2 linked regions of the Nothobranchius furzeri genome follow. The protein of the gene in region 2 interacts with the protein of the main gene of each other region in a pairwise test. Links are inferred from orthologs where the notes say so. Each region holds a gene or a part of one and is shown on either strand. Other genes may lie near its edges.

What was found.
Region 1: the proteins of N-chimaerin (region 2) and hemk1 interact in binary tests that used the Homo sapiens proteins (3 or more experiments, as listed by UniProt). The two-hybrid records come from large-scale screens. The link is inferred for Nothobranchius furzeri from reciprocal best matches to the Homo sapiens genes CHN1 and HEMK1.

Annotation. Positions count from the first base shown.
Region 1 is NC_091743.1:64,712,729-64,716,989, forward strand, and holds the start of hemk1 (MTRF1L release factor glutamine methyltransferase), read right to left. Parts: upstream 2,801-4,261; 5' UTR 2,649-2,800; coding exon 2,583-2,648; intron 1-2,582. Other genes in the region: GATOR1 complex protein NPRL2, read left to right, coding at 3,608-3,679, 3,871-3,962, 4,037-4,205. UniProt on the Homo sapiens protein: N5-glutamine methyltransferase responsible for the methylation of the glutamine residue in the universally conserved GGQ motif of the mitochondrial translation release factors MTRF1, MTRF1L, MRPL58/ICT1 and MTRFR.
Region 2 is NC_091754.1:46,223,504-46,227,003, reverse strand, and holds part of N-chimaerin, read right to left. Parts: intron 2,296-3,500; coding exon 2,122-2,295; intron 910-2,121; coding exon 832-909; intron 754-831; coding exon 616-753; intron 1-615. UniProt on the Homo sapiens protein: GTPase-activating protein for p21-rac and a phorbol ester receptor. Involved in the assembly of neuronal locomotor circuits as a direct effector of EPHA4 in axon guidance.

The DNA of each region.
Region 1 (4,261 bases), on a different chromosome or scaffold from region 2:
AGAGTAGAGTGAAAGGAGAGGTAGTTGAAGGGGGAGCATCAAAACGGAGGATATGTAAGAAAATAACAGATATCTCTGTTTGCACAAAAGCATACTACACAGCTTATTTAGCTCTTTTATACAGAGAAACAACATCTACCTCTTTATAAATAGTGCAAGATTCTATAGTTTCCACAGTGCTATACTTTTATATTTATAATTTTTTGCTGACTTGCTTTTAGTTTGTTTTTATTTATTTTATGGTGATTGAATCCTGTGCTTGTAATTTTGTTCAGAAATGCATCTGCACCGATCTGAGCCTGAAAAGGTCAGGCCTCCTTCTTCACATCGAGTGCAGACTCGAGTCCACGCGGCTTTCGCGTGGACAGCCATCAACATCGGCTACGGATTGAGAGCAGAACGTCTCTGGAACGTTGCTCACGAGTTCACGCGATAACAACAACGCTTGTAGAAACAAGTTAGTAATCAAAAGCCAGACCCGTCTTCTCAAACCTTCATAATCTGTGAACCAATATCCCTGTCATCAATAAGAGAAGAAGAAGCCGGAAGAATGATACGGCACAGGTTTCATTTTGGAAAAAAAACCAATGCACCTTTCTGAAACACGCCTCACTTCCTGTCTGTCTCATGTCATTTCTTCAACTTCATGACGATTTGCATGCGGTGTCCAGAAAAAAACAGAAACTGCATGGAAAGATTCTGCAGCTCTGCATCCGGCCCCGTACCCCAGCCAGAGTGAACGCTATGATTGGACTCAACGACTTTTGGTCTTCTGGGAAGAAAGACAAATTCCGATCCGCATCCGCTCCACACCTAGTGGAAGCCTCAAAGTGGATCGGACAGCTGGATGTTTTGATCACGGCTTCACCACACAATTTATTGTGATAAACTTAATAAAACATATAAAAGGTTGTATTGTTAAGGTGACACCTCATTCTGATTATTATTATCGTTACTATAGTTTACTCTAATCAGATTTGTATTTTTTACAAGAAATGTAAGAAAAATATTGATTCACTGAAATATTGCAATATTTCATGTTATGATACTGAATCTATACTTAAAAGCAGCATGTTTCTTGCATGTTTTAGATCATGAGCACTGCTGTTTGGTATGATTTAGTGATTAACCAATCCTGTAGAAACTAAGGAAGGCTGGGGAGACATTTCAGCTGTTAGATTAGGTGTTAAAAAGACAAACGCACAGCGAGGAGATATGTTTTACTTTCGGTTCTACAAACAGACACAAGGGGGTGCTAAAATCAAGCCAAAACTGCCAAGTTTGCCTTTAAAAGCAGTGTATAAATATTTTATTGATAATCTACATGCAAACATTCACTATATTTCTTTTGTGCGGTGCAATTCAAACTTTGACTGCTAGGTGGCAGCAGTTTATTTATTTATTTATTTTACAAAACTCACAATAACACAGGATGAGTTTTTCTATGAACTTCAGTCTTAATAATTGCAAAGATTGTCTGGCTTTTAGTATCACAATATATTGCATCATCTCCACCATATAGTGATGTATACCATAACACCAGATTCTTGCCAATACACACACCTACAATGAACATAAATTCCACCATTCTTGGCCAGTATTTAGCATAACCCTTCTAATTGGTGACCAACCTAAGTCTGTGAACACACTATTGTTAAGAAATTCAACAGAATGTACCCTTGTTCATGAACTCACCATCACAACCAGATTCCCCGGTCAATACGGTTACTAACATCCAGGTCTTCCAGAATGGTTAAAGTGACAATGTGCAGTTTTTATCATTAATCTTTGTAAATATCCATCAAAATTTGGCTGAAAATCATTTAAATGATGCCCGGTTGTTGAAAAATATTGGCAGCATCATAACATATAACCATTAAAAAAATGGGGTCTAAAATACATGGGAGCGGGTCCAAGTCTCTGGGGGATGCCATATTAGATGCAATATGTCCTTCTGTGGGAGCCCGTGAGGGCAATACACATTTGCAACAAACGGTTATAAAACTTTCGCCATTCCTAAAGTTGTTTTACACATTTACCTCTTCACTCGTTTCCAGTGATGAAAGGTAGTCTGATGTGCTTGTCATTTTGCTGGCAGTTAAACGATCTGACAAAGTACTCATTTGAAAATTGCACTCCAAGGGATTTTTGACCCTAATGGCCTTCCGTTTATATGGTCTTACTCGAACACAAAAATAGTGCTTGCTTGCAATGATTTAGGTATGTACTGCCCACTATCGCCAGGGAAAATACACACCCCAAAAAACTATTTCATAACTTCAAGATCTTTGAAATATCCTCATTAGCTCGCCAGAGCGATACCATTATCGGAAAAAGGAACTGGCCCAAAAATCGGAATTGGTGCAGCTCACATGTGAATGGATGATGATGCTACTTTGTTGTTACTTTTCAGTACTTCATGTGGAGTTTCAGCACAACCATAAGAGTTTATCTTCTATTAGTCAGACATGAAACAGCTTGTATAGTCGACATAATCCAATAATGCAAGATGCATGCAGTTATTTTTAACATAAGCAATTTAGCAGACTAAAAACATTGTCCTCGTTTTCACGTGCAGTTACCTTTGGTCCACCACTCCCCCTGACTCCAAAACATCTGTAGCTTGTATTCAGCAATCTTGTCCACATCGTTTTAAACAAAATAAGAACTTTTATTCATTCACCTACAGCTCAGTTAAGCTCAACTCTGTCCCTCTTCTACTCACAGGAGCTGTATTACAGAACGCGTAAATAATTCCTTCATTCTCCTGGACAATTTTGCGCGACTGCATAGGAAATATGATAATTTGTAGGAAACAAATAACACTGATTGACTGAGCAGGTCGCGTGCATTGAAAATCGTTTCGAAGGTCACGTGACTCAGAAATGTTTCCGCATCCGGCGCAGTTGCGCAATATGCGCAAGACGGCGTTTGCTTTGGAACTGTTGTAAATTTAAAATGTTGCTGCAGTATTATGATACACAATTGTAATAACATGCCGTAGCACGGAGACTTGGACATTTAAACATGTGTTTTAATGACAAAACACACACACACACACAATGAATGTGAATGGTTCACGGTAAATAGAGCTGTAAACTATCATTTATTCGTGTTCGCGTATCTAAATTCACATTTTAAAGTTATTTTTAGTCAGAATGTAATTTTTACAACAAGTTTTTTATCAAAATGATGATTTCATGGACTGAACGTCAATCTTATAAAACAAAAAAACTGTATTCAAGCTATATTTGTTGCAAACACGAGAAGCTGCAGCTTCCGTACAGTCCGTGAATGCAGCATTGTTGTTGTCCTCCATATCTGTTTGAGTAGCTCATTCAAGCAGCTCAAAGTCTCACTTCATAACATTTTCACCAGTGCAAGTACGCTTTTAACTAAATATTCACATTAATTGTTTCCTATTCCGTGCGGTAGTTTTTAAAAATAATTCAAAAGGCTCGCATTTGCTTCTTTTTCGACGTAAAAGCTAACAGCTAGCTTGTTCTGTTGTAGTTAAAGAGGAGAGGAGGCTGTCTCTCTGACAGCATTCAGGTGAAGTTATTTTTAACAACCACATTTAAAACCCTGGTTGGAGCTTATCACAGACATGGCCACTCGAATAGAGTGTATATTTTTTAGTGAGTTTCATCCTACTCTGGGCCCAAAGATAACCTACCAGGTAAGTAAACATGCTTGTTATAGTAGAAATCAAAGTTAATCTTTGCTTTCTTCCTGCGTCTGAGTACTAATCTTCTATTTGATTGTTATTGGTCTGACCCATATTGTGAGTTTCTTGTGTTATTTATTATATCGTGCTAAACAATCTACTTTATATGACTTTGTTCTTTCCCCTTACTTATATTTTGACAGGTTCCAGAGGAATACATTTCAAGAGAGTTATTTGATACTGTTCAAGTCTACATTATCACCAAACCAGAACTACAAAACAAATTAATTACAGTGTATGTAATCCATGCTTGTTAAGTTGATATTTTTTAAAGTCAAACTTCTGACACAATTTTTTTATTTTTTATAGGACTGCGATGGATAAAAAGCTGATTGGCTGCCCGGTGTGCATCGAGCATAAAAAGTATAGTCGAAATGCCCTTCTGTTTAACCTCGGTTTTGTTTGTGATGCTCAGACCAACACGTGCGCTCTTGAACCAATCGTCAAGAAGCTGTCTGGGTACCTCACAACTCTGGAGGTAATGTGCAATGCGTTCTGGGATTGCTTTTTCTTTCTTTTCCAGTGAGACATCTA
Region 2 (3,500 bases):
TGGCACACCTGTCCTAGCTAACGCTAAGGTGTTTAACATGGTACACCTGTCCTAGCTAATGCTAAGGTGTTTAACATGGTACACCTGTCCTGGCTAATGCTAAGGTGTTAAAACATGGTACACCTGACCTAGCTAATGCTAAGGTGTTAAAACATGGTACACCTGTCCTAGCTAATGCTAAGGTGTTAAAACATGGTACACCTGTCCTAGCTAATGCTAAGGTGTTTAACATGGTACACCTGTCCTAGCTAATGCTAAGGTGTTTAACATGGTACACCTGTCCTTGCTAATGCTAAGGTGTTTAACATGGCACACCTGTCCTAGCTAATGCTAAGGTGTTAAAACATGGTACACCTGTCCTAGCTAATGCTAAGCTGTTTAACATGGTACACCTGTCCTTGCTAATGCTAAGGTGTTTAACATGGTACACCTGTCCTAGCTAATGCTAAGGTGTTTAACATGGTACACCTGTCCTAGCTAATGCTAAGGTGTTTAACATGGTACACCTGTCCTAGCTAATGCTAAGGTGTTGAACATGGTACACCTGTCTGAGCTAATGCGAAAGGTGTTAGTAATGATGTGGCGCTGAAGTGATGGTGTTTTCCAACCACCTACTTCCTGTTTCTATGAAGCGAGGGTAGGCGTCATACGTGATGAGAGGAATAGGAAGCTCTCTGAAGTACAACTTCAGGGCGCCGGTGATGATGTTGATGTCTTCGTAAATGCTGGAGGAGATATCTGCCTTTTCTCCATCTGCAGTGGAATTCAGTTCAGTTCAGCCAAAACAATCAACCACACTGATAATGATGGACATCAGGGGGCAACACTCACCTCTGTCAAAGGTTAACTTGACATCTTCTATCAGCTCACTGAAGCCTGAGATTCTGTACAGACCCTCTGACTGAAGACCTGCCAGAAGAAGTGGTTTGTTACTGAAACGCCTCACAGATGCTGTTCTGTTTGGGGGCGTGGCCTGTAGCTTACTGAAACGCCTCCCGGGTGTTGTTCTTTATGGGGGTGTGGCCTGTAGCTTACTGAAACGCCTCCCGGGTGTTGTTCTTTATGGGGGCGTGGCCTGTAGCTTACTGAAACGACTCCCGGGTGTTGTTCTTTATGGGGGCGTGGCCTGTAGCTTACTGAAACGCCTCCCAGGTGTTTTTCTTTATGGGGGTGTGGCCTGTAGCTTACTGAAATGCCTCCCAGGTGTTGTTCTTTATGGGGCGTGGCCTGTAGCTTACTGAAACGCCTCCCAGGTGTTGTTCTTTATGGGGGCGTGGCCTGTAGCTTACTGAAACGCCTCCCAGGAGTTGTTCTTTATGGGGGCGTGGCCTGTAGCTTACTGAAACGCCTCCCAGGTGTTGTTCTTTATGGGGGCGTGGCCTGTAGCTTACTGAAACGCCTCCCAGGAGTTGTTCTTTATGGGGGCGTGGCCTGTAGCTTGGAAAAACGAGTGCATTGTTCTTTAGTAGTGGTACTCTGTTCCACTGAGCAAAGATTAGCCAAATAAACCTGAAAGAACTCAATGAAATTTTGGAGAAACTGGTGAGAAAGCCCCACCCCTTTTTGGTAAATGGCCTGTATTTGTCTAGCACCTTCTTAGGGTTCTGCAGCCCCCCAAGGCGCTCCACAACACAATCATTCACCCGATGATTGTGTTGTGATGATTCACAATCCATCACCACCAGCGAATGCCCGCTGGTGTTGATGAGCTACGATGTAGCCACAGCTGCCCTGGGGTGTACTGTCGGAAGCAAGACTGCTGAGTACAGGCGCCACCTAACCCTAACCACCGCCAGCAGGTAAGGCGGGTTAAGTGTCTTGCCCAAGGACACAACAGCAGCATTCTCTGGCAGGTGGGATCAAACCTACAACCTTCTGATTACTGCATAAGCCGCTCTACCTCCTGAGCTCCTGCAGCAGATTCATGCAGGGTTTAGGGTTATTCTATCAAAAATACTTTTACTGAGGAACAAAAGGAGTATGAGAGCAGAAGCGGCGGTGAAACAGCCACAACAGGTTAAAGGTTAGCCACTTCAAGAGTTGCTGCTGATTGTTCAGACGAACATGACTCAGTGTCTGGATGTGGCTGCAGCTGATCGGATCCCCATGGGGGCATCTCACCTCTGGCTTCGATCTCCTGGATGCACATGTCGACCACCATGGGCCTCTTGGTGTTGTGGGCTTTAACCAGAGTGGTCAGGTCGCAGCTGTACACCTTCTTCACGTGCCGAAGGTCCGGCTGGCAGTCGTTGGGAACCACTTTGGAGCACTGCTTGTGAACATTCAGCCCACAATCTGACAGGGAAACAAAAGAGCAAGGTTGACCAGGTGAAACGCTGACATCAACACGCCGTCTGTCAGAGAGACCCTTTCAGCGAGGAGATGAGTCAGGAGAGGAGGAGCCACTAGCTTACTGGGTTCTTCCTGGCGGAGACCGACCCATCCTCTACAGTTACAGCAACACCAAACAGGTGTGCTGCTACTGGATGAAGCAGATAGCAGGTCTCTATGAACGTACGAGTGTTGGCTGCTCAGACACAAAGGAAAACACCACAAGTGTAGACCACCCCATGCTCACTCTGGCTTTAGCTCTTCACCACCACACATTTCTCTCCCTTCTCGTGTTTTTGTTGACGATCAGCAAACTGCTAGCTAGCATTAGCTATTCTTTAGGAGAGTAGATCATCATTTGAATCAGAGTGATTCTGACTCCAGTTTAGGGGTGGGCAATATAAACGATATAAGGTAGAAACGATATAAAATTGGGTAACGATAGAGTTTTTGGCTATATCGCAATACCACGATATCGCGATAACACATGGCATCACTAAGATGTGCACCCTGCTTACATTGGGACAACAGAATGGCAGTGACTGCAAGCATGGAGTGGGCGGAGGAGGAAGCCTATTTGCCTCAAGTGGCATATATTTGCCACATGAGGATATTTACAAGCATGTCATTTTGACATATATAAACAAAGGAAAAAATATATCACAATATATATCGTTACCACACATGCTTCAGATTATATCGCAATATACAGTAGATTTGAGGCCATATCGCCTGGCGCTACTCCAGTTCCTCGTTTTGAGTCCAACTCCGAGTCCAGACTCGGTCTGGAGGAAGTTAACCACAGGTCGTGCGTGTCTGACCTTCTCCAGGATTTTGAAGACGCCTCTTGGATGAGACGTAAAACGTCTGAGACACCAGAAAAGTCCTCTGTAACTGACCGTGGTGCCGCCGCACCTTCAGACAAGGTTATTTAATAAATGTTAAAATGACGTAAAGCATATGAGATGCATATATAACCTGTATTTGGCCACTTATACTAACCATAATCAGAGTTTGAACTGCATTTCAATGTCATGAACCATTAAATTTGCTTTATTTTGAAAAACCAACACCACCAGTTCCTGTCTGGCTGCAGGGCGCTGCTCTGAGGAGTGAAGGAAAACTAGAGACCACAGTCCAAAGTAGGGGGAGGGGAAAAGGCTGAGGAA